Linked DNA regions of Nothobranchius furzeri. The protein of the gene in region 1 interacts with the protein of each later gene in a biochemical or structural test. Links are inferred from orthologs where the notes say so. Each region holds a gene or a part of one and is shown in the gene's direction. Other genes may lie near its edges. The genes, in order: stub1, insrb, hsf1, irf1b and runx1.

Region 1 (6,300 bases):
CAGCATCTTGTGTTTCTGATCACTAATGAAACACAAAACAATTGAACTAAACCAAATGAAAAACATGCCAGAGATGTGCAAGCATCCCAAAGAGTCCTCTGCTAAGGTGATAATTTGCATGAAACAATTTTCCCATCATCCTTAAAAGGACTGTTTATCCTAGCAGCTTAATATGTGTTTTATATTGCACCCACCCTATAGATGCCACAGAAGGCTTTAGCATTCCTCAGACTTACAGATTAGTTGAGCTGGTGGGTGTTCTGGAGGATCAACACACCAAGCTGGTGGAGATCGGTAAACACAGCTGGGGACACTCACTGCTGCTAGGTCTGCAGCTCAGTTGGACCCCCCCTCTTTAACACATCTATATGTGTGTTTGCTCTGGGGATGTGTCCTAATCTTCACACAGGCTGGGATGAAAGTGACCCTGTCCAAAATCATTGTCTTGCTAGTTTCTCTGTTGCTAAACTTGAAAGATCTTAGTTATAAAGGTCGTCTGTAGGTCTCCCTGTGGGTGGGATGTCTCTGAGATACTTTATGATAAAGTCTTGAACATTACCCAACCCCTCCCTGAAGATGTCATCCACGACTGAACAAAGTGATGACCTGTTTCTAACAGACTTCTACTACTTTGGCAAAGGGTTAGAGGTGCGTTTGTGAATATTAGGACCAATCTTAATATTTTGATTTAATTATTCAAAAGTTTACATCACTGAAGCCTCAAAAGATCTTGGCATCCATGAAATAAGTTAATAGAGACCTGTTGTCCTTCTCTGCTGTTGCAGGTCTCTACACAGTTAGACGTTTTCAATTTTGATGTTCAAGTAATTTTGCAGCACAGAGCGCCCTCTGCTGGTGAAGCTTCAGATCAAAGTAGGACAAGCCGTGATTAAAAAAAAAGTAATTTGTGTGTGTGTGTGTGTGTGTGTGTGTGTGTGTGTGTGTGTGTGTGTGTGTGTGTGTGTGTGTGTGTGTGTGTGTGTGTGTGTGTGTGTGTGTGTGTGTGTGCTTTGCTTTGCTTTATGGTATTATAAGATAATAAAAATTTTAATTTGACACACAGACTCTAATTTAAATAAAGTTTAAGTTAAACTTTGAAATCCACAAAGAGAATGTTGGCTTCGACTTAAATATGTAAACAAAACAAAAAAACAAGTCTACCAAAATAACAGCAGCAAACAAAGATCCTGGATATCATTTCATAACAAGAATATGTGAGTCTGTTTGATCATTCATCATTGATCAACATGCCAGGAGAATCCTGAAAGGAATGTTGATAAATGATCCACGTTTTAACAGATTTGTACAAAGTTGCCATCAAAGGGTATATGAATGTAATCCACATTTTATTTTGGTAGGATTATTGCATTTTCTGACACTCTGACATAGCATCCTACCTGAATATGAATTTGAAACCACTGCATTAGGATTTGTACATAACTATTTGATTTAATGCTAAATTAGTAAATAAAGATAATTAAAAAATATAAAAAGATGTTCAGTACAACAGTAGATGCACACGTTTTTTTACCTTTATTGTCAATTAATAGTTGACCTCAAAACCTATTATGTATGAATATGTAAAATGTGTTTTGGAATTACTAATACTTTTGAATAGCTTGAATCTATGTCTACATGTGATAAAAAATAATGACTAAATAACTCACATGCCATCTTAATAAATTTGTCTAAATGTTACGTATTAACACGTAAATGTACAAAAATAAATGATACTTAAAAATGGTGTTTAAATAGCTACAAAATAATAATTAAGACAATTATTTAATAAAATAAAGTATACTCAAAATACTAAACGTTATTTACTGCATTTCACAAACAAATGAAATTGTTGGTAAGTCTTTCTATACATAAAACATTTTTTGTTTTATTCTAAATGAAAGATTAGGAGGTAATAACTGATACATAGTTTCAGTTATTTGCTTTTTATTTCATCGCACTAATTGTGTCCTTTCGGCTTCCGTTGGAGTAACGTAAAAAAGCCCTTTACGTCAGCATAACAACAACTTGTCATGAGAGCTCGTACGGGGAAAATCAATACTTAAAGACTGTATATCAAAATAAATGAAGTCACAATCATCTGGATGTAAGATTTATCATTAAAGGTAAGAGTTGGAAACGGTAGGCTTTAACAACGAACTCAGTTTAAACCAGAAACAGGGGAGGCTTTGGGCTAACAGGCTAATTTTAGCATTAGCTAAAGATTTTTTTACTTATCGCTTAGCCGGGTCTTGGTGTACTATATTATTAACGACAGTGTCCGGCTGAGAATAGTTTGGGATCAAACGTGGCATTTATTGTTCATTTGATGAATTCAGTGAGTTTAACTAGAGCTGAATGAGCGGAATCCTTTAGCAACCCCCGGTGAAAACCGACCACGTAGCCTAGCTTACTAGGCATAGCAGCGATCTCTGGTCTCACTAAAGTTGTGAATTTTTTCGTCTGAGAACATTTTCTTCCACAGCAGCTAGCCTCCAACTGTTCCTGCGCAAGCGAGTGATCTGTTTGGAGGTGTCGGTCGTCACCTTTCGGCTACCTCTGGTGTAAAGTTACCCTGACTTAATACTCAAAGCGGTGCTCATTGCAGATTGCAGCCCACGCCGATGTCCGTCATATGAATAGTTAATTCAGTCTAGGCACCTAGCTGTGTTTTTCAGCGGCAGTGCGCGCAGTCAGCAAATCAAACCTTTTGGGTGGCATCGAGCAGCATTGCACCTAAAAGACGCGCATTGCAGCTGCAGTGCAGTAAACCCTGTGGTGTCTGCTCTGTAGAGCGCGATCCAGGACGGACTGGTCATTTTGAACTCTGACGTCTGGCCAGCCGAAGAGACGGGGAACAGGATTGGGAAGCAGGGCGAGGCGGGCCCCGCGGAGCCGGTGGAGAAGATGGCCGGCAGCCCGGAGAAGAGTTCCACCGCGCAGGAGTTGAAGGAGCAGGGGAACAGGCTGTTCCTCTGCCGCAAGTACCAGGAGGCTGCAACCTGCTACAGCAAAGCTATTGTGAGTGGCACTAAGGATGTCTGAGTCTTAAGTCATCTAAGCTGGAAGAATACAAATGTTTCTGATTACAGATAATTCATTAACACACTTTCTGGTTTATTTTGTCCCACAGAACCGTAATCCATCAGTGGCTGTATACTACACCAACAGGGCCCTCTGCCATGTAAAGCTGCAGCAGTATGACAAGGCTCTGGCTGACTGCAAGCATGCTCTGGAGCTGGACAGCCAGTCCGTTAAGGCACACTTCTTCCTGGGTCAGTGTCACCTGGAGCTGGAGAACTACGACGAGGCTATTGGAAACCTGCAGAAAGGTTTGAGGAAGTCCTTAAAGAGGATGTAAACATGGCTGAGTTTTGCGTCATTTGGGGGGAAAAGTTCGTCTCACAAGTTCCTTCATTTTTCTTTCATAATTCCTTTTAGATTGAAGTTTTTGTATTGTCATCCTTTTATGTAGTTGTTTTCTCGTCCCCATTGTCTTCAGCAATCTTTAAAAGTTCTATTCCATGTCTACATCAATGTTGTGTAGATAAATTAATGACTTGTTGTGTAACATTTCAGAAAAGTCCGTTTTTTTCACAGTTCAACATGACCCTTAAATGTTGTAATACAATCTCCAGTAATTTCTGCCTATTTTAAATACCAGAAAGCTGATGTTTAAGTGCTGCTGGCTGACAGACTCACACTGTTCAGTCCGTGTGTTTTACTCATTTATATCTTTGAATGTTGCTGACAAGTCTCCAGACAAGTTCTTCAAACAAGCAGATCACACAGAGCATTAAACCCAATGTGCAACAGTTATTTGTTTTTTTTTACTAAAGCAGCGGAGTCCAATCCTGGTTCTGGAGTGCCGGTATCCAGCACGTTTTAGCTGTGTCCCTGCTCCAACACACTTAATCAGCAGCTCATCAAGGTCTTCAGAAGCCTGTTAATCACCTGCTGAGTGAAATCAGATGTGTTGGAGCAGGGAAACAACTAAAACATGCTGGATACCGGCTGACTTCAAAACTCATGGATAAGTCTAAAACCATAACACAACACGAGGGTCAGATTTATGCTTTCTATTATAAATGTATAGTTTACAGGCCAAACCAGAGCAATCAGAGGCTGGTTACCTGGTGGGTGCTGATGGACTGAGTCAGTGTCTCCAGTCTGCGTCATAATGATAGAGAAAGCTTGGTCATGTGTAGCTGCAGGTGCAAAATCTCTATCTTCTAACTACAACCTAACCTACCATTTCAGAGCGTTGGGAAATTGTTAAGCAGCCACAGCACCAGCTCTTCTGCAGCAGCATGGAATTGATAGAAAATTGATTTAAAGACTGTTTAGATGTTCTTTTTGACCGTTTTCCAAACTTCCAAGTTTTAACTAATGTGACTTATTTATTTGTTTATAGCGTATAACCTGGCAAAAGAGCAGAGGCTGAACTTTGGAGACGACATCCCCAGTGCGTTACGCATCGCCAAGAAAAAACGTTGGAACAGCATCGAGGAGAAGCGCATCAACCAGGAGAACGAGCTGCACGCCTACCTGACCAAACTCATCCTGGCTGAGAAGGAGAGGTCAGATGGGATTTTTCTGAAATACATTCTGGCACGCTGTGCTCCAGGTGGTTTAGATTTAGTGATATAACGTGGCGTTTACTATTTTTCATAGAGAACTTGAAGAATACAGAGAAAAACAGGATGACAATCAAAGCGGAGGAGATGCAGCAAAGATTTCATCAAAACACGTTGGGTTTTGCCCTGATTTTCACACTTTTTACTGACCAAAATATGCGTTGATGTTAATTTTGGGACATTTTCATTACATGTAAACGTGACCTGCTAAGGACAAGTATTTAATGGACATGGACGAGCTGTTCTCCCAAGTGGACGAGAAAAGAAAAGTGAGTTGACAAGTTGTTAATTTTTTGTTGTTTATTTCATTTAATTCATATTTAAATACTTTAAATAATCTAACAGAGAAACAGTGTGTGTCTCCCCCCCCCCCCTCCCCCATTTTTGTAGTTGGCATAAGAGCAGCAAATATACTTGATTCTTCAGATCTGACTTGAGATCTGTTTTATTTAAGTCTATCTTTTGCGGTTATTTTATTTTTATACAACCTCAGTAACTTCACTGACAGATGAGATCGCATGAAATAAGATGGTTGTTTTAATTTTAGCGCAAGCTGTTTCTATGACGACTGTTACTTGCTGTTTGCCAAGTTTCTTGCCAGAGCTGGTTGTTTATATTGAGGTTGTAGTCGTATAAGGGAGGATGGAACTGGCCTTGAAATTAGAATAAGATGTATCAATCTGTTATGTGTTTGCTTAATATCGTATTAGGATGATCGTTGAGGCTTTTTAGGAGGAAGTGACATCAGTGTGGTTGCTAAGCAGCAGCTTGTTGATGACCTGGACCCTGTTAGACCAGAATAAATCATCTAATTGTATAGAAACCCTGATTGTTTAGAGTTTCCTCTTTTCCTGATTCCAGAAGCGAGAGATTCCAGATTATCTTTGTGGGAAAATCAGTTTTGAGTTGATGAGGGAGCCCTGCATCACACCCAGCGGGATCACTTATGACCGCAAGGACATAGAAGAGCATCTACAGGTAAACAGTTTCAGGTCTGCTGGTAGTTGGTGACTTGTTTTATTTGATTGTTTTTTTTTTTATCTATGTGTATGTTGTTGACTGTTTTATTTGTTTTAGCAACATCAACCTGCCAGAGGACTGCAAGTGGAAATTAGTCTTAAAATCTGGCATATTTACTGTTCATAAGTATGCATTGTCCTCCTTTAAATAAATAATGAATGAATGAATGAATAGAACAGCTTGTTAAAATGTGTGGACTGAACTGCGAGCAGGTTTACAGCATTGGTCACCATGGTGACAGACTCAGGTGACAGGTTAATTGTAATTTCCAACAGCATCTGAAGTTTTCTTCCTCAAGCCGCTAAAGCCAGGGTCACACTGGGCCGCCACCGCGACGTGAAGTGCTGATCCTGTGGTAGGACAGGCTTCTGTCCACAAGTCTAGACATGATCAGATCAGTAGCGGTGGGTTATGTATCACAGTACAGCAGCGACCATATGATATGTTATGATACAAAACAGCCTGAAGACCAGAGGCTTCCAGTGTTATCACGAGATCTCGTGAAGTCAGACTGAAGGCGGTAAAATCTGCTGCCACCTAGCAGTTGGAGGTAGAATTGCACCACACAAAGGGAAGCACAGTGGAAGATTATGTTAAAATGCTCTATAAAAATTTGATACACCTTCTTTTAAATATCAGCAATATT
Region 2 (6,274 bases), on another chromosome or scaffold:
TTTGTCCACTAAACTAAAGAAGTCTTTTGATATGTGATGAATAATTCACTTTTAACCATTTTACTAAACTGTTTCCGAAATATTTGAGATGCTGTGGGGAGTATAGACAACAAACAGAGCAGTACCTAATTTTTCAATCGTTTCCTCTACAAATTTATTTAGATGTTTTTCATCGTCATTCGTGTGTTGTTGTGTGATCATTAACATGCCTCTTATAATAACAGAACGTTTGAGAGAGAAGCAAGAAGACCCCAAGAAAAGTGAATTACAGAAAATTAAATTGTCAAATGCCTAACATAACATTATATTAAAAAGAAAGTCACCCACAGATCAACTTTTTTTTCCTGATAAACTAGATAAATATGTGTCTAATCGTGCTGCAGACACGTGTAGTCAATAATTTTGCACTTTAGTGCGTTTTAGGTTAAATTTAAAATTTCTGCCTAAAACTGTCAGTACTGTGCTGTTGTCAGGTAAAAACTCTGCACTGCAGTTGAATTTAAATCTGCCATCGCTAATGGCTAAGAGGCACCCTTAGCTGGTACGATATGATGTCACAGCGTCGTTGTGAGTCTCTGTGTGTGTATTTGTTAGCGGCTCCGCCCTCTCTGTCTGCTAGGCAACAGCATTTGTTGCATTTTTCAAACAGGAAGTGGGAGTGGAGTAATACTCTGGTAGGAGGTGACTTGCTCTTTAATATATCAAAAAGGTCAGTAGCAGCAGTCATAAAACAGACATAATTCTGCTGCAGATCTCACTCTGAAATACCTCAGAAGCGATTTTCAAAGATGTTTCATTGCTGTTTCCACAAATGCAACTTATTGTGACACAAACATGGTCCAGAAACAGAGATCTCTTGGATAAACTGAGGCAAGGTGTTAAACCATTTATTGCCTGATAAATCCAAATTTCCAACTCAGATTCTTTTCCAACAGGTTTTTAAATAACATTCGACTAGTTGTCAGCGCACAGTTCAAAGGTAATCAGTTTTAATGACGTGGGGATACATTGGTGCAACATATTGGTGGAACTTGAACAATTAGAATATGGTGCAAAAGTCAAGTTTATTTCAGTAATCCATCTTAGACTGAGAGACCACCTAAAGGCTCAGGTACCCTTTGCAGGTGGTTTGGATTCATTACCTGATTAGAGACCTTGAGTGTAGAATATTGAAACTTCACAATGTTCCAATCGTCTGAGATTTAGAATGAGGAGTTTTCTTGAGCTGTGAGCCATAATCATCACATTTACAACAAAGAAAGGCTTAAGATATCTGGATTTGCATGAAATCAGTCTGTCTCATACATTACTGTCACCTTTTAAGTTGAATTTCCAAACAACCCTCTAGTTTTAGTGTTTAAGATTAAATGGTAATGCTTCATTTTGACACAATAAATAGCTGGACTCGTATTTGCCTGGTCTGTTATCCATGCTGCCGGAGCCGCTCCGGATCCGGTTCCCGGTGCAGCAGGAGCAGGCGGCCGTGTGTTCCGGGTTTTCCCGCAGACCGAGTGTGGCCCAGCTGAGGTGACTGGCAGGACTTGTTTACTGCTGGAGAGACTCGCAGAAAGAGAGAAGGAACGGGGGAACCTGGGGGAGAGAGCCGTCTCTATCGAAACGCTACGGGAATACAAGTTTTTAACACTTGACCCACCTTTTTAAGTTCTTTTTTACCTCATCTTTTTATTTCACTATACGGGATACTCACTTTGTGAGCGTGTTTTTATTATTTTAACTCCGATGCTGAAACCTGGTTTGTTTTGGATTAGCCTGCTAGCGTTAGCTGTTTCCCCCCAACAGCTAATCTGAGAAAAGCGACGGGCGGCAGCATGCGTGGAGAGTTCTCCACTTAACGGATACGTGCGGGTTCAACACGGATGTTATTTGATATTTCCCCCCTCTCTTTGTGCATCTGGGGAAAAGGGTACCGTTCAACCCCCGAAGTTGGTTCCCCTTCTCCTGTTCGGTTCTGATGCGTTAGTGGCGTGGTGGTCAGCGGGGGTGAACGGGGTTCAGAGGAAGGTCGGTGTGTCGGAGGAAAGCTGCACGTTTTTCCTGCCGCAGAGTTTCCTGGGATGTAATTCTCTCATCGGTCTTAAAAAGGAGGGAGCGAGAACTTCACGAAGGAGCGATCCAGTTGATCCGCAACTTTCAGCTCGTGTCTGCGGGAGGAGCAGAAGACTCGAGCATCTGTGCAAAAACAAAACAAGTCAAAGCTAAGTGGACCTTACAACTGGACCTCCAGGCTGTTTTCTCTCGACTTAAACGGAACTTCAGACAGAGGAACATGGACTGTCACCTTCACTTGTGGAAAATGGTTTTTACACGCACTTGTGTGACCAGAACCCAAGATCACATTATTTAGTGGCCTGGATTTAATTTTGTTTATTATTATTATTTTTGGAAAAGGCATTTTAATCCAATTGGACTTTCATTATTTCTTGCCTTTTTTAATATCCACCCAGAAATAAAACATTTTAACTCAACGTTGGAGTTTCTGAAAGAGGAGCACACAAAGTCCAAAATGAGGCGGTTAACGCCAAAACTGCGGTCGCAAATGGTGTTTTTTATCATCTGCACCTGCATTATATGCCATTGTGGACTAATAACTGGAGAAAGTAAGTTTCCCATTTAATTTTATTTTAAATGTGGCTCTGTTGCTCGTCTTCTGCACCTTTCTGCCTTATTTTGAAACGCTCAATTTTAGTTTATCATGATTATTTGCATGTTTACAAACAAAATGAGCAAAGCATAAGACGCTATTGTGTCATTTACATGTTACGATTTAGTTTTAAAGTGTGTTATTTTATTAGAATAAGCAACGAGGTCCTTCTAGAAACCTGATTGAATTCCCGATTATTTGTTGTTTTCGTGTCACGAGACTCGCCTACGTTTTGGCGCATGCTCAGACATGCGCAGCTTTAATTGTGAGGCTAGTAATTTCAGCTGTTGTAATTGATAATCCTGTGAGGTTACGGTGGAGCGTCTCCCCGCCCTCGTGCACAGTCTCGTGTGTATTTTAGCGGCCTGCGCTCGGTGCGCCAGCCGGAGGGCAGGATGCTGGACCGGGGTGGTCCGTGGCAGTGAGCCCGAACTGGGGCAGCAGGATCGGCCTTGTGTGAGTCCAGAGAGGCCTCTCCTGGCCACGCACACTCATGCACGCGCGGTGCGCTGCAGCAGCCAGGGTGTAAACAAATTATCCCCCGACGCTAAAAAGCCTCCTCACAGGCGGCGGATGAGTCCAGGCTGCTCTGTAGCACCAGATCGGGCTAAAGCAAAGAGGTCGTCCTCTCCAGACGTCTGCAGCTTTCATCAGTGGATAGATATAGCCGACTTGTAAACAGCTCAGCTGCGTTTGCAGATCGAGGAGATTAATCCCGCTCTGTCTGAACAACACCAGCGGAATAACGATCACAAGCGACAGCTTTGTTTACACCAGGCTTTTGTTTAGGTTTCATGAAATCTGAACTTAAGTTGACAGAGGAAAGTTATATTTCCAATTTACCACAATTTAATGTTTTGCTACCCAGGACTCGGACCTTTTTGATAAACAAATTAAAGTTTTTCTCAAGGCACATGCAATTTTTTTTCTTTTTACAGTTGGTTCTTATTATTTCATTCAGAATATTTGGTAAACTGAAGAGGTGAGCAGTTTAGCAAAAAATAACACTTTTCCCATCTCTTTAGAAAGATGATGCATCTGTGCTGCTGTTTTAATTTTTCAATCGATAGTTTAAAAAATTCAAAGACACAACATTGATTGGTGTTTATTTGCTGTAGTTTTTTTTAGGTCAACACGACTTATTTTGACCCCCACTCAAATTCTAAATTTCTACACGATCTGCTGTCATGACATGTCAAATGAGAGCAGCAACCCAGGTCTCAGAAAAATTGAAAGATCTTCAGAAAGTGTAGAAAACTGTTAAAAATATCTTCAAAAATACAAGGTTTGTCTCCTTGAAAGCTAATAAGAGGTGACTAAAACCAGTACCAGGAGAATTGTAATCACACTGGAAATCTGTAGGAAACTGTTAAAAAGTAACCTTCACAAGTCAATGTCATGTATACATTTTACATTTTAAATAAGGTGTTATCGTTGTTGTAATTTACAATAATCTGATCGATGTAGGACGAGAGGAAACCTTTCTCAGTTTACGCATCTTGAATAAATCAGACTTGTTAAAACTGAATTACAGTTAGGGCTGCTCGATTATGGCAAAAATAATAATCACGATTATGGTGACTGAAATTGAGATCACGATTATTTAGGACGGTTTTTCAATTTATGTTGATTTCATTTGTTTTTATTCAGTCATAAAACTGCTCAGGGCACAATCAGGACAAAAATAAATAAGAAACAAGATGATCACTAAAATAACTCCCGATTCCCAGTATAAAAAGACCAATATACTTATAGCTCATAGTCTATGACCCAAGGGCTATAGACCTTGGTTTAACTCATTTAAGTCTAACCAGTACAGACCCAAATACCAATATCTTGCAAATACTGACAGCAAGAATTATACAGTGGCATTTATAACAAATAAATGCAAATAAATTGATGTTCACAAAATATTGCATAATACGTATTTAGTCGTGTCACGGTGCTGTAGGAGAGTGCACTAGCACCGGGTCCTCAGAGAGATGAGTTATTATTTATCAGCGTGAGGAACTTATTTCTACCTTATTTATAAACTATTTATTTACAAGTCCATCAGTTAATGTAATAATTGTCCCAACCACAGCTGCACCCCCCCACCCCCCAACCCGGTCTCACAGCAATCGGGGCAAGCTGCATGTGTGTTTAGCGCGCCGCACACGCACATTTAGCCGTTTTTAGTGGCTCAGGAGTCCGCAGGTGCGATGTGTGTGTCACTCACTCTGGCTAATCCAACAAGGAGCCGGCTCCGAGAGCCGTTTCTTTAGCGACTGACACATCACTACATCATTCCCTTTCCTAATGTCCTGAAGAACGGTCTGGAGCGCAGGCGGAGTGTTTAGCTAACCTGCATGAAATGTCGACGACAGTTATCCAGAAAGTAGCTAAGGGTTACCAGAGATGTTTCTGAAGGTGTTCGCTAGGTACTTTTAAGTTAAAAAGTCAAGAATGGGGTCTGAAAAGCTGCTAGAAATAGCGCCAAAGTCACTAAGTTGGCAACACTGTGGGAGGAGCGCTTCATTTGCAACTCAGGGCAGCGCAAGCGGGAGGAGCAAATAATCGGCTTGTTTTGTTTTTTATAATCGTTCAAAACTCAGATCGTAATCGTGATTAAAATTCGATTAATTGAGCAGCCCTAATTACAGTTTCTATATAAACGAATGCTCTTTTTGCTTGTCAGTGACTGGTGTAACCTTTAGCCCACATGTCTCCTTGTGAGATTTGTTTTCAGTGCTGTGGATGTTGTGTTGCACAAGTCTGTGAAGTGTTTCAGCGCATGATCTCATTTCAGAGCGAGTGAGCAGGTAGACAAGTCTGAAGTGACCCAACATGATAAATCACCTTTAAGGAAACCCCTGATGCCCCGTTTGCCTGCTCTGGTCTTTAATTTACTTTTGGGGGTGGGGGAGCATTTCTCAAAAGTTGCTCCCAGTGTGGGTTAAGAGGAAATGATCTGGCTACTTTACACAGGTCATATATGCAGACAGAAAAGAGGCCCCTGAAAGGGGCAGAGCTGTTGGTTGCTCTCCTCCTTTTCCTTTTTTCTCCCTCTTTTTTTCCTTTCTCCTACTCCATCGCTCCCTCTCTCAGGGAATGTGGTTCATGTCATTGGCTGTTCATGAGTACTCTGGGAAGTGACCATATTTGGAACTTAGGAGATGTTTGCAGCAAACGTGGGGGTGGGGAAAACGACCAAAATATTTAAAATATGTCATTCTGTATCCACAAGTTGTACTGATATGCTCCACGGCAGGCATGATCTGCTGACGGGCCTCCAGAAACCCCAGTAAAGTGTCTCTCATGTGTTGTTATGGAGCCTGGACTGCTATCTTAGTCATTGTTATCGGTGCATAGTTTTCTGAAGCAACTGCTGAGCTGTCTCTTGGTCTAAAATTCTGAAAAACATGTTGTGCAACTGGGGGACCCCCCCCCCCCCCACACACACACACACCACCTCTGTTCACCAAAGCTTGTGTGCACATCTCAGTTAATAGTGCATTTATTACTAGATACGTGCACCTTCTCCACAAATGTTCCACTCAGGCGATGCAAACATCCAGAGTAGTGGCACGTTCAGGAGGACTGGTCGGACGTTTGCAGTGCCACAGCTACGTT
Region 3 (6,413 bases), on another chromosome or scaffold:
CCGATAATTAATAAAAATCAAAAGATTCTAAATAGTTGGCTCCAAAGAAATATATCAGTTTTGGTAGAATACTCTTAACAAAAACGGAGAGTATATCTAGCTTAATCTATCCTGCTTTTTCAGTAGCTATCCCTGACCAATATGTTAAGAGAATAAATAAAACACAATATGACTTTATTTGGAATAATAAACAACATTTGATTAGGAAAAACGATCTAGTAAAACCTATAGAAGAAGGAGGTCGGAATGTCATTGATTTTGAAGTAATGAATGGAGTTATTAAATTACAATGGCTAAAAAAAATTTTAATTAAGAAAAATTCTATCTGGTTCTGTATTCCTTCATTTCTGTTTGAGAAGATTGGAGGTATGGATTTTCTGTTAAAATGTGATTTCGATCCTCTTAAATTACCCATCAAACTTTCTAACTATATTAAACAAGTGTTGATGTACTGGAAAATGATCTACTCGCATAACTTTAGCCCACATTCCTCCTCTATATGGAATAACAGATTTGTTCTGTATAAACGGAAATCGATGTATTATAAAAGTTGGATGGATAAATGAGTTTGGGCGATATTGCAGCTGATGGACAGTAAGGGTAAGTTTCTGGAGCATACTGTGTTCAAAATTAAGTATAATATAGACTGTTCTGTAACGGAATACTCTAGAGTTATAAAGGCTATTTCTCCAGCTGTTGGCCAGATGGTCAGTCAAAGTATTCAACGTGGAACAAGTACACCTAAGCTTCCTAAATTATCTATAGGTGATTTGAGTTTTACAGACCGTAAATGTAATAACTCTTACCTAAGAGCAGTCTTGTCAGACAAGTTTTTCCCTATTCCTGTCAGAAGGAAAATTCTTTCTCCGATTCTCTCAATTAAAGATACCAAAGTCATAAGAACAGAGTTTCTTTCTTATACTCTTCTCCCCAAAATGAAGGAAGTTCACTTTAAAACGATTAATAATATATATCCATGTAAAGAATTTTTAAATATCAGATTTAATATACAAGATAATTTATGTGTCTTATGTAATAGTGAAATTGAAACTCAGAAACACCTTTTCTATGATTGCAAATCGGTAAATACATTTTGGTCAGATTTATACAATTGGCTTTTATTCAAAACCAGTTACAATATCCCCTTATTCACATATAGTACTATTCAATTTGGGTGTATAGAAAAAAATAATCAGATTCAATTCGTTGTTAACAATTTGATCATTTTTTGGAATTTTTTTTTCCACAAATGCCGTTTTATGAAAGTGAAGCCAAACTTTCCTTTTTTCCAAAACAATTTTATTATATTTTGCAAATCTCTTAAAAAGGTAAAGACTATACAGGCTGTTACACTTGTCGGATTTAGTGAAGATCCTGTGAACTAAGGTCCTCTGTCTTTGAATATGTATTATTATTATTATTATTATTATTATTATTGTTGTTGTATTATTATTAGTAGTATTAATATTAATATAATATTTATTATAATTTTTTATTGTGTCTTGTTAATCTTATAAATCCGGTTGTTTCTGCTGATTAGAATATTTCTAATGGTCTAGTTAAAAGGTTTTTGGTTTATCTACTGAGTTGTTCTTTCTTTTTTGTTGTTGTTGAGTTTTGGTTGTTGTTACAATATAATGTGATTGATGTTCACAAAAAAAAACTACCCACTTAAATTCTTAACAAATATTTTGTGTAAATACCCAAAAGCCTGTGAGAGATAAATTCCTAATTATATACGCGTTTATGTTTCTGTCCTGTGCCATATTTGACCACAGAAAACATTTTCTTTAATTTGCACAAAAAGAAAACCTTAATCTTGAAATTGGTCAACTAATGACATAACATATCAACAACACTACTGTTTGAAAACAAACAAGCCCAACAACTGTATTGTCAGACTGACCAAAAACAACATTTCTGTATGATTGCAATGAAGTTTATGATGTGAATTAAAAGCAAAAGTTAACAAATGTCGATCAAAATCAATTTATATAACATAACAATGTTGTAAAACAACAATAAAACATCAGACTGCAACAATAATTTTTACTTTAAACAGATTATCATTAGGTTCTTAAAAATGACTGAATGTGTTGATTAAATCGAATTTGTGAGTGTCTCCATCCATGTGCAAACATAAAGATAACGTGTCACCAAAAATTGGTTCTGTTTCGTTCCCTCCTGACTGCCAGTGGCAGTAAACAGAGTGGATGTCCTCGCGCTCTGCGCAGGTCGAGTAACTTCCGTTAAATGGGCTCGTAAAAGGTAATATTTAATTGCAAATAAATGGTTTACGGCATAAATGTATGGCAACATCTGGTGTGAAAATACCACAGGTTCAAGATCAGGCCCCTGAAAATTAACAAAATTTCAAAACAGGCACTCATCTAGAATTTACAACCACGAGGGCAGAGTTCAATGCCTTGCCCAAGGACACTTAAATTTGAAATGAAAACACCTGGGATTAAAACATCAACCTATCGCTAAGAAAAATGACATGTCATGCAAAATAAAACACAAAGTTTATATTTATTTTAAATGTGTATTTCTCTGCTTTTGACCCTGCCATTTCCATTCCAAATTAAAAACAATCCAGATATAGCTTTACGTCACACCGCGACCGAACGTTCACTTTACGTTATGTCATGACGCTGCGAAAGAGCGACAGCCATTCAGCCAGCTACGCAGTTGTTTGTATTATCGGATTTGTTGGAATTTTCCACTACGGAGTTTGTTTAGAGTAAAGTTAGAACATTGGTCTGTGGACTAGCCGACACTAATACCACTCCAGATCGGGGTTAACTTTTCGAGATGCTCCACGAACCCTAATCTGGTTTAGTGTCGTAGTTTATTCGCTTTTTTGTGTCTGTTAGGAGTTGATGGGGTTAACAGTAGGCTAACCGACTTAGCATTGACATTAGCTTCAGGAGTTTAGTGTACGTTTATCGTCTTTTATTGTAATGGAATATCTCGGAGGGGGTGGAGTGACCGGAGGAGTGGTGGTGAGCGGCGGAAACGTGCCAGCCTTCTTAACGAAGCTGTGGACCCTGGTAGAAGACCCGGAGACCGACCCTCTTATCTGCTGGAGCCCGGTACTCATGTTAGGCTAGCCTAGCAGAGCTAACTGCTAATTACTCGCAGAGCACTTGAGACGTTATTCTTATCAGAGCGAAGACTCCAGGGAGAATGTTTTTAAAAAGCGAGTAAATACATTAGTTTTTTTTGTTAGTTTGTAATATTGATAAAATGTAATATCACAAGTTAGCTGTAACAGCTGCAGGTGGATTTCTGACGGGCTAACATTAGAACTGTCTGGCGCTCTGGATTTAGCCATCAGGTCCTCAGAGAGTTACTCGTGTTCGGCTGGTGTTATAAATTTGACGTATACTGGGGACCAGGTGTTGACCTGCTGTTGGTTATGTCAGTGAAAATGAGCAACCAAGTTAATTTACTTACATAGACCTCATGTTACCTACTCAAGGCCTATTTTTATGTTTGACTTGTAAAACCTGATACAAGTTTTCTAAGAACTCTAATGTGGATTCATATACAACAGTTTTTACGTTAACAGTCAAACCATACCGTAAACATGGTATTGTTGTTGTTTTTTTGCAGAAGTTTTTAATTCCTCAGTAATACATTTTCAATTTATATTGTTGCTAGTTGAGTTAACTGACTGGGTTTCTAAAATCCTCTACAAATGCTCATCCAGCTTAAAGATCACATTAGAATCATAGTTTCTGTCTAATAAACTTGCTGAAATGTATATCTATTGAAATTGTGATTATTTGCCCGAGTTTGGAAACGCTTTGCTTTTATTTCTTCTCTTTAGCTGAAATCACTGCTGTGGCTCATCAAAATAAGAGCTTCAAGTAACAAAAACACACAAAGCACCTCTCAGCAAGGCACACTATACTATATTATAAAATGTTCATTTTACTAAAGCCTTCTGTCTTACTACTATAATATATATTTTTAATTATTACTTTCAGAAATGTATACGTTGGTCACCAAAAGTCTTGTCAAGGCTCAAAAGCCTTCAAATATCCAGAGTTCACAGTTTAAGAAGACAAAATATTTTTTACTTTGATTAAAAATAAAATCACTATAGACAAAATTAAAGGGCATAAAGTCTGAGCTATTGAGGATAAGATTCAGACATAAGTTTAAACATGTAGAAACCAACTAATTATCAAACACGTTTGTTTTATGAAAAATGGGACAGATGCAAAAGCAGAGAAGAACTGCAATATTTCCCAAATAAAACTGAATAAAACATCAATTTGCAAAAAGCTTTGCAGGAATATTTCCCTACTGATTCTAATTCACACAACAATAGTTGAGTTTAGATCACCGTGGCAACAGTCTGCAGTCAACGGTGTAAGCTGATCTGCAGACAGCTGCAGTTCCTCTCTCCACCGTGCCGACATGGTAAAAAGTTTATTCACAATTTACGGGTGTTAAAATGTCAAAATCTAGTATTTTTTCTTGTAAAATTCTGTTTACTGAATCTTAAATTGTTTGTTATTATTGCTCTATTGACACGACTGATTGCTCTGTGTTCTGTATATCAGAGTGGAACCAGCTTCCATGTGTTTGATCAGGCTCGCTTCTCTAAAGAGGTTCTACCAAAGTTCTTCAAACACAACAACATGGCAAGCTTCATCCGACAGCTCAATATGTGTGAGTATCAGCTGTCATCAACCAACTAAACCAGCTCTAGTTGAGCGGTCTCTTATTATAGTTTCAGGACTAATCAGGAACATTTATTTAACCAGCTGCTGCTTTGTTCTATTCTGCTGATGTCCAGATGGTTTCCGTAAGGTGGTGCACATTGAGCAGGGTGGTTTGCTGAAACCCGAGAGAGACGACACAGAGTTCCAGCACCCGTTCTTCATCAGAGGACAAGAACACCTGCTGGAGAACATCAAAAGAAAAGTCACAAATGTATGGTAACGCAGAAGCACTCAGATCAAACGTCTGGTGCTTTTTGACAGATTAGTTCTTTCAAAGTAATCTAGAGGTAAAGTCTTGTCTAGGTGCTAAAAATCTGATTGACTTGGTTAAATGTTAATAAGAAAAAATCAAAAGGATTTTGACAACATTAATTATCAATAATTAATATTTTAGAGAGAAACTTAATTACAAATAAATCCATTCAAGATCATCTCCATCCTAACCAGAAGCACAGACTGTTTAATGTACAGATAAACTCCCCGCAAATCCCAAAAAACTACCTCTCAATGACACTGAAGTTGGATTTAATTTTACATTTTTCTTGTTTTCTGTATTGAAATCTTTCTAAAATAATCACAGAGTCCTGTAATAAATCTTTGGAGCAGCTGTCTATAACGCTATGAGCTCTGACTGTCTTGCTTTTCCCTACGTTTGTGAACACGTGCAGTTAGAATGGACACATCTGATATATTTGGTAATGGTTCCTCCTTTCTGTATCCGGTGCAGGTCGCATCGGTCCGTCAAGAGGAAGTGAAAATTTCTACAGACGAGGTCAACAAAATCTTAAACGACGTCCATCTGATGAAGGGAAAACAGGAAACCATCGACTCCAGGATCCTCTCCATGAAACAGTAGGAAGCTGAACTAACAAAAGAAAAGTTTAAGTGGAGGAGATTTTTCCTGTAATATTAACATTCACCTTATTTTTCTATCTGTTTTAGTGAGAACGAGGCTTTGTGGAGGGAAGTGGCCAGCCTGAGACAAAAACACGTGCAGCAGCAGAAAGTTGTCAACAAGGTACAAAAGCATCCACCCAGACAGACGTAGCACAAACTGGTCCTGCTGTTGGATCAAAGCTGTAAAAAAATCATTTGTGTTTGTGCACAAGAGAAGATGCTGCTGCTCGCTGAACGAGCAAAATAAATCTGTACATCTGTGAATGTAAAAAAACGTCTTTAAACTAAATATATTAACCTGCTGTTAGCGTTAGCGTAGCTGCTAACTCAGCTAAATATAAGCTTTGTCTTTTTGCAGTTGATCCAGTTTCTGGTGTCTCTTGTCCAGACCAACAGGATCATGGGAGTCAAACGGAAGATGCAAGTTTATTCCTAACTCTGCAGATGTGACACACTTTAGTGCTGCTTAACCCTAGTCATCAGTGTATTTTCATGTTTTTCTTTTCTTTGCCGTAGTCCTCTGATGCTTAATGATTCCAGTTCTACACACTCCATGCCCAAATACAGCCGACCTTTCACCTTGGAGCACATTCAGGTAGAATGGATGATGCTACTCTCAACTTCAGCCGTGAGTGTTTCAGACACAAACGCCTGTTCTGTGTCTCCAGAATGCAGCCGGTCTCCTCTCAGCTGACTCTCCGCTGAACTCTGGGCCTGTCATCTCTGACATCACAGAGGTCGCCACGTCCACCCCAGAAGAAGCAGTTGCTGATTGGA
Region 4 (6,192 bases), on another chromosome or scaffold:
AAACACTGCAGAGGGATGACTGGCTGCAGAGGGGTGACTGGAGAAGACGAAAGGAACACAGGACCTGAGAGACATATTTGGAAGGCTGAAGACCAGGGGACAAATGAGGAACACAAAGAGACACATAAATGAGACACAGACAAAGGACACATGAGGGCGCTATGAAACACAAAAGGAGAACCTGGAGTGGGAACTGGAGGGGCTGGGGAACAAAGGGACACAGAACATGACACCCACCTGCAGCCCCTTCACCTGTACGAGGTCATGCATATCTGCACGGCTCATGTCTGAGGCCTCTGACCTGATCCAGTCGCTGTCACCGAGCTGTCAAAGCAGATGGATCCTAAAGCAGCTTTCCTCATGCCAAATCCTCAGTTTGCCGTTTTATCCTTTCAAGTGGCCTAAATATTCAGATTCACTGACACCTTGTGCTTGGAAAATGCATTAGCAAGGAATCTGTCAGTGTGATTAAAGCCCATTGATAAGAGGTGAAAACGAGCAAGGAAGATGCATAAATGATTACAGTTTGTATAAAATATGGTGTTTCATTTTAGGTATAAAGTGCATCAATAACCACTGACAAGTGAGACATTTCTTTTTGTGTGGAAATAAAAGGCAGGGATAATCACTGAATGAGATTTATTACATATAAGGTTTAATTTAGTACTAAAATCTATTAATAATGATAAAAAACATTGGTATTTTCTCATAAATTGCATTATTTTATACAATCTTCAGCATTTATAGGTTATTTTACCCTAAAAACCAAAAGTTTTATTGAACTGAAAATGCCACAGCTCCAGTGATTTCCCATGATCCGCACAGCATCAAGACAAGGAGGTTATAAACATCCTAAATTAGGAATGCTGTTCCTCACGGCTTCAAAAATCCTTTCTTCACTGGGAAATCCCACAGCCTGCTGCTGCCGGTGAAAACTCCACGCGAAAACTCCCTGCGCTTCCCTCCTCCTTGAGCAGACGCGCGCTGGAAACGTGCCACCCCCCCCCCCCACCCCCCCCCACCCCCCCCCACACACACACACACACACACACACACACACACACACACACACACACACACCACCACCACCACCACCACCACCACCACCACCGGGAAGCCCCTTAATCAACAGCAGGGTTGAATAGATGTGACAAGGCATTTATGGGGCTTCCCAAAGTCTCTCTCATACTCTAATTGTGTAAAATAATAATAATAATAATAGTAAAAATTCCTGTGGAATTTTCAAATCTTTATTCCCCTCCCTACCACATGCGAGTTGTGTCAGACACGCTTGGTGATGTGAGAAGCTTTGCTGAATAAGCCCGCATAACTATTTCCACATAACTCTGAGTGCAGGAGCTTGCGTTACCACTCTGCCCCTAGCGGCGAATAGAAATTACTACACCATTTCTTGTAAATGCCCCTGCTTCTCGAGCGCCGGCTGAAGGCTCGTATAGTGCACATGCCAGGCTGTCAGATGATCTTTGACACAGAGCGGGGGAATGTGCGCGCGTGTGACCTATTTATGCCCTTTGCAGGCATTCAAACTAGTCCTTTATCTGAAATGGTAGTTTTTTTGATGTTTCGTGCAAAAAATCCAATATTTAAACATTATTTTAGAAGATGATTTTTCTGAGTGTGTGTGTGTGTGTGTGCGCGCGCATGTGTGTATTTGAGTAAAAATAAATGTGCTATCTTTGACAATCCCAACAAAAATGTGGACTTTTGCAAAATTCAAATCATTTGCAATGAATTACATCAGCAGGTCTTCATGCTTTGGACTACGTGCCCACCGCTGTAATGAAGCCATTGCAGACAGTTGTAAACTTCCTCCTTGCTCTCAACTGCATGATTTCTCGGAAACGGCTCGGCTGCTGTATCCAAAAGACTGGTTTACGCATGCGCGTACTGCTGGAAAAAGTGTGAACAAAATAACTGTCAAGTATGTTGATTTTGCATCTTTAAGGTATATTTTCTTTATCTAAACAGAAGTAACCACGTGCACACGTAAGATTATAATATGTTTAAGTTTTTGCAATCGTCACTTCTGTTTAAATTCGTTTGTTTTAAGGGTAGATGAGTGATTTAAAGCTTTTCTTTATGCCTCTTGTTAGAATATGCAATCTCTTTAAAAATAGAAATCACCATATTTTAGTTAAACTAGTATGAAATAATTAGAAAATACTTCATATAAAAATACACCCACATGAATAAAAGCTGCAGGATCTTTCATTGTTTTAGTTTTTTTCATGCGGATATTTCTTCCAGCGTGCACACGCCTCCCTTCGGCTGTTCAAGGAAATACCCGCTGCTACTTATAAAAAGATGCCCATGCAGCAGTCAGCTCACTTCACCAAAGATATCCTGCAGGATAACTCACAAGAACGAGGAGAAACTTAACAACAGCAAACTCAAGCCGCTCGGATTATTCTCGCACACACCACTATCATCTTGGATTGCAGAGAAATAAACACCGTACGTGTTTTCATCTTTTTTACCGGACGCATTTGGTAACTTTTGAAACGCTTTCATTTTGTTTTGCCTTTTTATCATGTTGTTATTTTAGTTGTTTTCCAAATTTGCACGTTTTTCTCCCCGTTTTGGAACTTTTGTTGACTATGGGAATTTATAGGATAAAGATGCATGCCATACACTGAGCCGCGCTGGTGGAGGAGCGAGTTGTCATCTCGCACAGCTACAACCTTTTAAATCCTAGTTTATTTATTAACAGCATCATATTATTATTTTTAATAAACAGTGGGCTACTTTCGACAGTTTTTGTAGTGTTAAACATATTTTTCGGGCATTGAAGTGTGTGTGTTTTTATTTTTTTTTTGTAATTTTTGGTCCGTTGGAACCTCCTAACTCCTACGCGTAACCACCCCCACCGTGCGCGCCTTTCGCGTCCTGGTGAACTCCTCCTCACCCTTCCGCGCGGCCAGTAGGCAGCTATAAATCTAAGCACAGGCGGATGTGGGAGTGCTGTTGCTCACTGTACAGGATCAAGCACCCGATTCGTCACTTATCCCAATCTTTCCCTCGTTTGCTGCACGTTTTAGGTCAACATGCCAGTGCAAAGGATGAGGATGAGGCCATGGCTGGAGAAGATGATCGAGTCCAACTCCATCCCTGGACTGGCCTGGGTGGACAAGGTGAGTGTCTTGCAATGCTTTGTGTGATTCACTACCAATTTGGAGCACATGGAATAGCTTCCTGCTCTGCAAAGACTACATGAAGCATGCATTTTCCCTCACGTCACTTGTTTGCACGTTTCTGAAAGAGGAATAAAGTTAAAAAAACAACTTTTAGCAATAGTGAAAATGGAAATTTGGCATAAAAACACATTTAGTCCCCAAATGCTTAACATGCAAGTGATACATTCACTAAATGTGTAAAAGTTGCATGCTTTTATTCTTCCGCATCAGCAATGCATTTGATACGCAAATCATCAGGTTTGCATGATGGAGGGGGAAAAAAGCAGAATTATACCTTTGGATGAGTTAAACTTTGTTCTTGTATTTTAATTTCACAACAAATCCGTCTCCTAATCCAGCCTGTCTGCGGGGCATTTCAGGACAAGACAATGTTTTCCATTCCTTGGAAGCATGCAGCTCGACACGGTTGGGAATTAGACAAAGATGCCTGTCTGTTCCAAAAATGGGCCATTCACACAGGTGAGCAGGCAGGATCTGGCACGCCAACTCATTAAAGAAAAAAAAAACAGGTTATCAAGGAAAAAAAGTTAAAGCTTAACCGCTTTGCTTTTTGCTTTCAGGCAAATATGTGCACGGCCAGCCCATGGATCCCAAAACATGGAAAGCCAACTTCCGCTGTGCGATGAACTCCCTGCCTGATATTGAGGAGGTGAAAGACAGGAGCATCAATAAAGGCCACCAAGCCATGCGCGTCTTCAGAATGCTGCCTGCTACTCCCAAATGCAGAGGTGAGACACGGCAGCTAAACTCGGACTCCTTCTGCACTCTCAGAGCCAAGCTTTAACTCACCAGGTTTTTCCTTCTCCCTGCACAGACAAACGAAGCAAAGCGAGGGACACAAAGTCAAAAAAGAAGGTAAATATATTTCTATTGAAATGATGTCACCCTCTAGATAAAGACATGTAAATAGTGTCTACATGGGATTAGCTCACATTTTCTTACGTTTTGTTACGTAAAACTCGCTGATGAGGTTGTTTTTTTTTTTGCTTCAGCAGAGACAGAATGTCAATATGGAGGAAGACACAGACTACAGTGACACTCAGTCGCCACTGAACACATCCTTGTTTGAAGAAAACATCTCCACTCAGGAAAACAGAGTCGACAGCATGGTACAGATGGACCAGGAAGGTGAGCAAAACCAAAATGTTATTTGAAAGTCCTAAAAAAATATTTGAGTGACTTGATCTAAAATCTTCATCAATCCTGTTGCAGATTTCTCCTTCACGGCTCCGTCAGAGGTCCCTGATTGGTCGAATTCAGTCGAAATCTCGTTGGACGACCTACCAAGCAGCTTTCCTCACAGATTTGAGGTTTCCCCTGAACACAGCCCTGGTAAGATGACAGATTTAATCTCTGAATAAAGATGAAGAAATTGCCTAATACAGCAAACATTAGACTCATTTGCTTTTTCTTCTCTCCCTGTTTCTTTGCTGCGACCTTCCAGATTACGACTATCCTCAGGACATCATTGAGGTAAGCACAGCTCTCAGCTCCTATTTTTTTTAAACACATGCAGTTTTCATTGACATGAATACCCATGTTTGTCTTTTTTGGCCTGTTTGGCTTGTTTTAGAATAACTAAAATTATAAGGCTTAATTAAAAAAAAGCTACTTGATGTTGTGGAAAAACTCCAGTTGGACAAAAGTACTCAATCTGGTGTTGCTCTTACAGATTTGCCAGCAATTGGAGAAAGACTCACTGGGGATGTACAATGCAGGCAACATGGGATTCCTGAGCAATGAAGCATGCACGAGTCCAGGAAGCCAGTGGAGTGAGTCATCCTCAGGTAAATACCAGTCTAGATAGACGATTACCGTAGGTTAAAATTATTACTAAAATCCTGGTACTTGTTCTCACCTTTGGTCCTTGTGTTTGCAGGAGAAGAAGTAGATGACACACCCCAGTACACAACTCTGGGCACAGACTTCACATCACCCACAGATGTCTTCTGGAACAGCTTTTGCCAATAGATTCAGATTGAACTAACAGGACAGTGCTTTGACACTTTGGACTATTATGAAGCTCTGCTTGTCCACCCCACCTCCTAATCTGGGACCAAACCCCTTAAGTCAAGTCACAGTCTCTTTGGTCTCGACTCATTAAGCTAACTCCTTTTTCGTGGTTCCGTACGGAGCCACTCCCGTCTCTCGGCCACTATGTGAAGTTCTGAAGAACACTGTTTGTCGTCTTTGTTTTTGACTGGTTCAAAACAACGTTCATGTAAATTTTCTGTGTTGTAAAATTGTACAGTTTGTGGAGTTCTGACAGGGCATTGTATTATTAACTGTAACCAGTAATAAAGGTGAGGTTCGCCTACCTCGAGTGCACTTAGGCTGGCACTGATCACAAATGCCAGCTGCTCTAAGCATTTGTGAAGGAGTTGGTGTCAAATCAAAACATCGCATTTTTCCAATGTCTTCATGAATCCGTCAAAATACGGTGAACGCACTTCTTGATGTTTGCCCAAAACCCATCTCCAAGGTGTTTCTGTATATAGTTGTGTTTGTAGTTTTTTGTAATAAAAGGTAAAAATGAAGTCTGAAAACACGTTGGCTCGTTACTGATGCAACCAGATTATGAAATGAGGGATTTGCGCCAAAGGATTTACCTTACGTTTGCCAAAGTTTAGAAGTTTCTCTGAGCGAGCCAACCAGAAAAACTGCAAAGAACAGCATGTTTTGGGTACTTTTCACAGTAATCTTCAACCACATTGAAGGGGAAGCAGATCCACCCTTCTGGCCATTTGATCTATGTGGTTGTTTAGTTCATCAGACAGATGCATTGTGCATTTCATCTTCCTCATATGGGGCTCAATTAAACATCTGAGATTTAGCACAAAGTGCCAAAAACTGTAACAATAGTTTTTATAAAAGTCTACAAACATTGATAATCCCAGTATGATGCATTTTCTAAACTTTGAAATTAAAAAAATATTCCTGAGAAGTAAAAATTTGAGCATAAATGTTAAATATAATT
Region 5 (6,294 bases), on another chromosome or scaffold:
CTAAGAAATCACAATGTAACCATAGAAACACTACTTTGTGTGTGTGTGTGTGTGTGTGTGTGTGTGTGTGTGTGTGTGTGTGTGTGTGTGTGTGTGTGTGTGTGTGTGTGTGTGTGTGTGTGTGTGCGTGCGTGTGTGTGTGTGTGTCTGCTCTGTCTTCTCAATCCCCAGTGAGTCGTGGTGGATGGCTGCTTTTACTGAGCCAGGATCCTCTGGAGGTTTCTTCCTGTTAAAAAGGAGTTTTCCTCTCCACTGTCACTGCATGATTGCTTAGTATGAGGATTGCTGTAAAGACTCTGACACGATGCAACCTGCTGGGTTCCTTATAAAGGAAACTTTTTACTGATTGGCTTAATGAACTGACCTGTATTGGAATGTTTACTATGTGAAGTGCCTTGAGACGACTCTTGTCGGGCTTTGGCGCTTTGTAAATAAAATCAAATTTAATTGAAAACTTTAATTAGTGTTGTGCGCTCTAACCTCTGAACTGTCTAAACTTCATTGCATTTTACTGACAAATTTAATCAATCAAACTTCGTACTGGTCTTACAGCTTGCATATCAAATACGAAGTTTTAAGTTGGAAAATTTCTAGTACATTGATACTCTATAGTTTTTATTATTTTTGCTCTATATTAGATGCATTTGTTGAATTTTTTATGTTTACATTTTATTCACATCATTTTCTTTATTCTTCCTAACAAACTAAATCTAATTTTAAGAGTGTTGATGTGCTAATACATTGAATAAATAAGGAAAAAAAGAAAACTCTAACAAATTAAGAAAACAATTTACAGATTAGACAATTAAACAAACAAATAAACCAACTTTCTGAGACTAAATTGTTGACAAGTTGTGCACCCTTCCTTGTTCTTTTGTCTCAAGTTAAACTTGAATAAAATGTCAACAGAGAAGCTGAGACCAGAGGTGTAATTTAAGCAGGGGTACACTAAAGACAAACCCATCCAAATCAAGCTTTTTTTGTTGATGTTTTGTTTTATTGTAATGTCAAAATAGTTTGAAATAAAGATAGTGACAGAAAAGAAGTGAGGCTAAGAGAAAAAATGGAGAAAATCATTTGAGTAGCTAAATTAAATTAGCAGGTTTAAAGAGCCTGAGGGCAAAGTGGAGCTCCGTCCCCTGTGGCTACGCTTTAGAGAAGGGAGGCATGAATTAAGCTTGACTGGCTCTTTCCCTCCTCCCCTTCCTCGCACTTTATACTCCACGGTCTTTCTGGTTTTTACTAATATGAGGGGTGAGGTAAAAGGACACAAAACGAGTGGGTGAGGAGATGAGAGGGAGGGTATAAAAGCAGGTTGTGAAGGTGAGGACCAGCTGAAACGAATCTGTTCGCTTTTGCAGCTTTGTTACTAATCAATTTTTTTCCTGGAATTTTAGAAGATAAAACGTTTTTTTTTTTAATAATTGTTCAGTTAATGCCTTTGCTGTTTATTTTTGTTTGCTAGTTGTTGTTCGTGGTGTTGGGAGGTCACGGCTGTGTCTGCACCCAGGATTCCACTATGAACCCTGGGGTTTTCACCAGTACTGGCCCCCTGTCCTGGGCCGTGTACCTGATGAGGAAAGGGCAGACGGGCACCGGACTCTTCGGTAAAGCTTGCTTTTTTTTTTTTTTGCACCTTCTAGTCTTTACCATCACACATCACGTTTTTAACTAAATCAAATACTCAATGAAAAGCATGTCATATTCCACTTGTTGGTATTTTGTCTGATCTCGAGTTTCACATCACAGATATCTGGTAGTTTAAAGGTCTGCCCAGATGCGGGTTTATCCAGTAGTTGGGTGTATAAGCAAAAGTAAGAGCATTGCTGGTGTTTTGTTGTCCTTGGTAGAGTTTTATGGGTCATAGTGTTTTCTCAGGGCTGTCATGGGTGATCGCTTATCATGATGGATTCAGTTAGCATGGGTATTGCATAAGCCTGTTACTGGTTCCTAAAAACCAGTGGTTCCAATGGTCCATGTATTAAATGCATCATGTATTGTGTGCGATTACCTCTACGATGGTTGTCCTATCATTAAATTAAACTTACAATCTCTTGACGCATTTTGTTTCAGACTATCCTGGGGGCAGGATCATCCATCCATCCATCTGTCTGTCCATTTATCCATCCATCCATCCATCCATCATCTACATCTTACAGATTTGGGGTATCAAACTAGTTGTGTGTCAGGCTGGATCCGAAACCTTTAGAGGTGCCACATGCTCTGTTATTTCCACTCAAAGCAGCTGTTTTAGTAAACATTTGAACATTTTCAATATGATGCTCCATGTGTGCTCACACCCTACAACCAGTGTCAGAAACTGTCTCTGGGCATGCGTATTGAGACCTAGCTGTAGCGGTAGGCCTCCAAGCATCTTGTTTTTGTGCTAAGTGCTTTTTCTAGGGTTTTTCTGCCAAAGCAGATCCAACAAAACACCAGGGAATACGTTTGTCCTGAACCAGTGCAAACATTCCCTTTGATATGAAACGTTTTATTTGTTAAAGAGCAGTCTGTAAATACTTGTGAAAGGGACATATCATGCAGAAGTCCCATTTGGCTTCCATGTAGGTCTCTGCTGACTCTATGGCTGTTTTTACAGGACCAGAGCGTTTGTAAAACGGGATTTGCCGCGGCTCCCTGAGGAGGATACAGGTCGTTTATAAGATCAGACCATGGCGGTAATGTGGCGCAATCGTGGCAATTTTATAAAAGATTAGATGATGGCAGCATAAAGGGTGTATGGAGCGGTCCGCACACTTCCGTTTATCTTGGACATAACTTGCTTTTTATTGCGATTGAAGCCGTGATCGTTACTTTTTTTTAACAAGCAGCTCCCAAAGGTGTCTGTCCCCATCAGTCCCTGTGCAGTCTCTGGTGATCTGAGCTTCAGCTCTAACAGAGAGGCTCATGGAGCGCTGCGGCGCTCCAGTTTGCCATCTCAGCTGATTTTGTTCAAAAAGCAAACCTTATTGCCTGGGTTTACTTTCATTTTCAATAAATTTGCCAGCCGGAACTCAGCAGTAACTCCCCACGTCATCATGACACCTGCCTCTGTTGCGCCAGGGCGCATACGACAGACCATTACCGCAGTATTACTACCAAGCGAGGCGGAATGAATGCCGCAAAATTCGCGCAACGCCATGCCGGCATGTCTGTCTTATGAAAAAGGCTTATAAAATATAATAAATTTACACCACCACCACCACCCCTTACCTCACTGGTCCACACTTAGGGAGGCTTCCATTCTGGGCAAGGTGGAACAGCGGCTCTTCTTGAAGCCCCTCCCGTATATCAGAGCTCCTCACTTCATAGCAGCCATTCATGGATGGGTGGGCGTGGCCAGCAATCACTTATTTGCATTAATGTGACAGAGCTCTGACATGATTAATTATGGGAGTTACTGTAATTGTCATGAATAAAGCTATTTTATTTGAGATCAAGGACTAAAATATTGGCCAAGGATGCTTTCCGCAATTTTTGAATGATTAAGAGACGTAAATGCCAAACCAGCTTGGATGTCTTCCATGTTACCAAGTTAGAACCCCACCCCTTATCAAGCGATGAAAATGCTGTTGAACTTCTGCTAGGACCGTTCCTACCTGCACCATCACAGAGAACATTACGCTAAGTTGGTACCTAAAGATCCAATAGATATTTAGCTGTATGATAAAGCTCACAAGCCATAGCGCTCAATACCCATAAAGCAAGAGGAATCTTAAGGAATTTAAGGTCAACAACGTGTAGAAATTTTGACTTTGGAACTAAAATAAAAGAGTTTTGAAAAAAAGATCTTGAAGAAAAATGTCACACTTTGTGTCCAAGGTTGTAGCGGAAGTGGTTGACGTCTGAAAATCCTACCAGTGGCAAAACAAAGACAACAGAGAGTCTATTCATGACAGCATCAGAGCAAGCCCTTAGCTGAAGAGCAACAGCAGATAGGACCATGGAGACAATTCAGAGATGACCCTGAGACAGTCCAGCAGATAATAGCAGGATGTAAGATGTAGGCAATGGGACACCATAACCGAGTGGCTAGAACAGTGTAAAGGAAAATCTGAGTCTAATCTGGGTTAAAGGTTCTATAGTCAGAGTGGGATTCTCCACCATGAGTGGATCCAGTCTGACAAACAGGCAATGGCTAACCAAGTGGAAATCATGGTGGTCTACAATCTGCAGAATAAGTGGCGGTGAAAGATTCGGAGAACCCAAGTGACTAGAACATCGGGGTAAAAGACATGAGAAGATGCAGAAACACCAAAGGATGAGAGAAGAACTAGAGGTTGTGGAGCGTTAGGACCTGAGTAGGACCAGAGGTCATTAGAGCACTTAGAGTTGTGACCACCCAAACTAGCACCTGTGGAACTCTCAAGTTTTACCCGACACAAATGCATTACGTGATCTGTAAGCGGCGCCGTCACTCCACCCACACACATCACACACTGTGGGTGGGGCACCAGGTGCCCACCCTCACTCGAACACCTTTAGTGACAAAGCGGATTGCCACCCTTGTCCCACAGTCGTTGATGGGATGAGCCACAAAATTAAATTAAGGGCACCATGTGACCAGTCTGTGGGCCAGTGGCGGTGATGCTGAACATTCAGCTCAGTCGGATGGGTTTTGACAGACTCTGAACCCAGAAACAGCAGCAGGCAGAACCAATCACTCAGCTCCCTAGCCAATCAGTGACTGTTGGGAAATGCAATCCAACTGAACCAAACCCATCCGAGTAAAGCTGAGTGTTGCTGCTGGAAAGGTGCATTTAGAAGGTCCCTCAAGCTCTCAGGCCTGCGGTGAAGGACTCTTGTGGAAGAAGTTCATCTATTGATGTAAATCCTGATTGATATCTGGAGGATCATTGGAGAGGAGGAGGATGAAAGCTCAGGTTACAGGTCAGTCTGTGGGAAATGCTGGATGAGTGAAACCTAACTCTTCTCCTTGTTCCTTTCTCATCACAAGTCTGTTTCTTTACCTACATGATTATGTAGCTCGCAGCGTCTGTTCTGTTTAGATCTGTGAGGAAGTCAGAAAGGATGAGATGAACAACAGAGGAATATATCAGAATAACATTCTGTCACTTTTTCTTTTCTTTACTGGTTAGAAAATAATCACAGATTTTCTGCAGATAACCAAGAAAAGTGTAGATTCTGGTGACGAGGAACCGAACGATTTCCAAAAGGATATGTCCAACTCAAGTCACGATGAGAGATGAGGTGTTTACATTTTAAACCCCCCCCCCCCCCCCCCCCCCCACACACACACACACACACACACTTGGCTATGAGGAGCTAGAAGCAGAGGCAAAGTGGCCTTTAACTAAATGTCCTCTGACAGCATTTGGATGTGACATAAATTACTGTTAAAATTCATTTTTAAAAATAGCTTTTTCTGATTCCATCCAGATGTTTTACTAGCTCTGTGATTCACACTGTTCTAGTCTGTTTTCAAACCAGTATGAGTCACTCTTGTTTTTATTTTTCTGCATTTTGGTTCAACACTTTCATGAAGTTTAAATGCGTAACAGAAATTTTGTGACTGTATATTTTGCTTCCTCTTGGACTCCCTTGAAAATGATTTTTAATCTCAAAAAGACCTTCCTGTTAAATGAAGAATAAATAAATACAATAAAATAAATAAGCAGGTTCTAAACAGTGTGATGGGGAGATTTGTAAATAACAAGATATAGGGAGGCTAAGTCTCCTCCCTTTCCGGGTGGCTCATGGGTCCCCGGAAGAACGAAAAAATGAATGTGAGTCAACGGGGCTAAAAACGCTGTGGCTACACTGTAGCTCATCGGTGTAAAGCGCTTTGGAGTCCTCTTAATCTGAAAGGCGCTATGGAAGTGCGGGCCATTTCTCATCATTTAACTGATTAGCACGGAGTTGAAGTGTAATAAACACCTGGAGCATCCTAAATCTTTTATGATTTAAATAAATTATTTAAATTGTTTGTTAACTGATGTTAGAATAATGTAATTTAAAAACTATAGAAACAACTTATTTAGCTCTTTGACTTTCAGAAGTTCCTTGAATTAGATCCCTTACTGCCCTCTACTGTTTATATGATGTAATGTGTGTGTGTGTGTGTGTGTGTGTGTGTGTGTGTGTGTGTGTGTGTGTGTGTGTGTGTGTGTGTGTGTGTGTGTGTGTGTGTGTGTGTGTGTGTGTGTGTGTGTGCGTGTGTGATTGAGCGAGAGAGCGAGAGAGAGAGAGAGAGAGCGAGAGAGAGAGAGAGCGAGAGAGAGAGAGAGAGAGAGAGAGAGAGAGAGAGAGAGAGAGAGAGAGAGAGAGAGAGAG

Evidence for each region.
Region 2: the proteins of stub1 (region 1) and insrb form a complex in vitro, tested with the Homo sapiens proteins (2 studies listed by BioGRID, with this or other methods). The link is inferred for Nothobranchius furzeri from reciprocal best matches to the Homo sapiens genes STUB1 and INSR.
Region 3: the proteins of stub1 (region 1) and hsf1 form a complex in vitro, tested with the Homo sapiens proteins (2 studies listed by BioGRID, with this or other methods). The link is inferred for Nothobranchius furzeri from reciprocal best matches to the Homo sapiens genes STUB1 and HSF1.
Region 4: of the proteins of stub1 (region 1) and irf1b, one has a biochemical effect on the other in vitro, tested with the Homo sapiens proteins (4 studies listed by BioGRID, with this or other methods). The link is inferred for Nothobranchius furzeri from reciprocal best matches to the Homo sapiens genes STUB1 and IRF1.
Region 5: the proteins of stub1 (region 1) and runx1 form a complex in vitro, tested with the Homo sapiens proteins (3 studies listed by BioGRID, with this or other methods). The link is inferred for Nothobranchius furzeri from reciprocal best matches to the Homo sapiens genes STUB1 and RUNX1.

What each region holds. Positions count from the first base shown.
Region 1 is NC_091756.1:32,258,190-32,264,489, reverse strand, and holds the start of stub1 (E3 ubiquitin-protein ligase CHIP), read left to right. Parts: upstream 1-1,983; 5' UTR 1,984-2,123; intron 2,124-2,790; 5' UTR 2,791-2,904; coding exon 2,905-3,018; intron 3,019-3,130; coding exon 3,131-3,329; intron 3,330-4,411; coding exon 4,412-4,577; intron 4,578-4,671; coding exon 4,672-4,747; intron 4,748-4,846; coding exon 4,847-4,903; intron 4,904-5,495; coding exon 5,496-5,612; intron 5,613-6,300. UniProt on the Homo sapiens protein: E3 ubiquitin-protein ligase which targets misfolded chaperone substrates towards proteasomal degradation.
Region 2 is NC_091748.1:57,936,846-57,943,119, forward strand, and holds the start of insrb (insulin receptor b), read left to right. Parts: upstream 1-2,294; 5' UTR 2,295-2,524; coding exon 2,525-2,618; intron 2,619-6,274. UniProt on the Homo sapiens protein: Receptor tyrosine kinase which mediates the pleiotropic actions of insulin.
Region 3 is NC_091759.1:9,320,668-9,327,080, reverse strand, and holds the start of hsf1 (heat shock factor protein 1), read left to right. Parts: upstream 1-2,644; 5' UTR 2,645-2,963; coding exon 2,964-3,095; intron 3,096-4,577; coding exon 4,578-4,686; intron 4,687-4,813; coding exon 4,814-4,950; intron 4,951-5,466; coding exon 5,467-5,591; intron 5,592-5,681; coding exon 5,682-5,757; intron 5,758-5,994; coding exon 5,995-6,056; intron 6,057-6,152; coding exon 6,153-6,231; intron 6,232-6,304; coding exon 6,305-6,413. UniProt on the Homo sapiens protein: Functions as a stress-inducible and DNA-binding transcription factor that plays a central role in the transcriptional activation of the heat shock response (HSR), leading to the expression of a large class of molecular chaperones, heat shock proteins (HSPs), that protect cells from cellular insult damage.
Region 4 is NC_091750.1:58,828,365-58,834,556, reverse strand, and holds irf1b (interferon regulatory factor 1b), read left to right. Parts: upstream 1-2,338; 5' UTR 2,339-2,475; exon of another isoform or gene 2,476-2,510; intron 2,511-3,059; 5' UTR 3,060-3,065; coding exon 3,066-3,152; intron 3,153-3,388; exon of another isoform or gene 3,389-3,553; coding exon 3,554-3,674; exon of another isoform or gene 3,675-3,775; coding exon 3,776-3,943; exon of another isoform or gene 3,944-4,021; intron 4,022-4,029; coding exon 4,030-4,070; intron 4,071-4,207; coding exon 4,208-4,343; intron 4,344-4,427; coding exon 4,428-4,547; intron 4,548-4,659; coding exon 4,660-4,688; intron 4,689-4,887; coding exon 4,888-5,002; intron 5,003-5,094; coding exon 5,095-5,186; 3' UTR 5,187-5,755; downstream 5,756-6,192. UniProt on the Homo sapiens protein: Transcriptional regulator which displays a remarkable functional diversity in the regulation of cellular responses.
Region 5 is NC_091743.1:80,942,702-80,948,995, reverse strand, and holds the start of runx1 (runt-related transcription factor 1), read left to right. Parts: upstream 1-1,343; 5' UTR 1,344-1,519; coding exon 1,520-1,607; intron 1,608-6,294.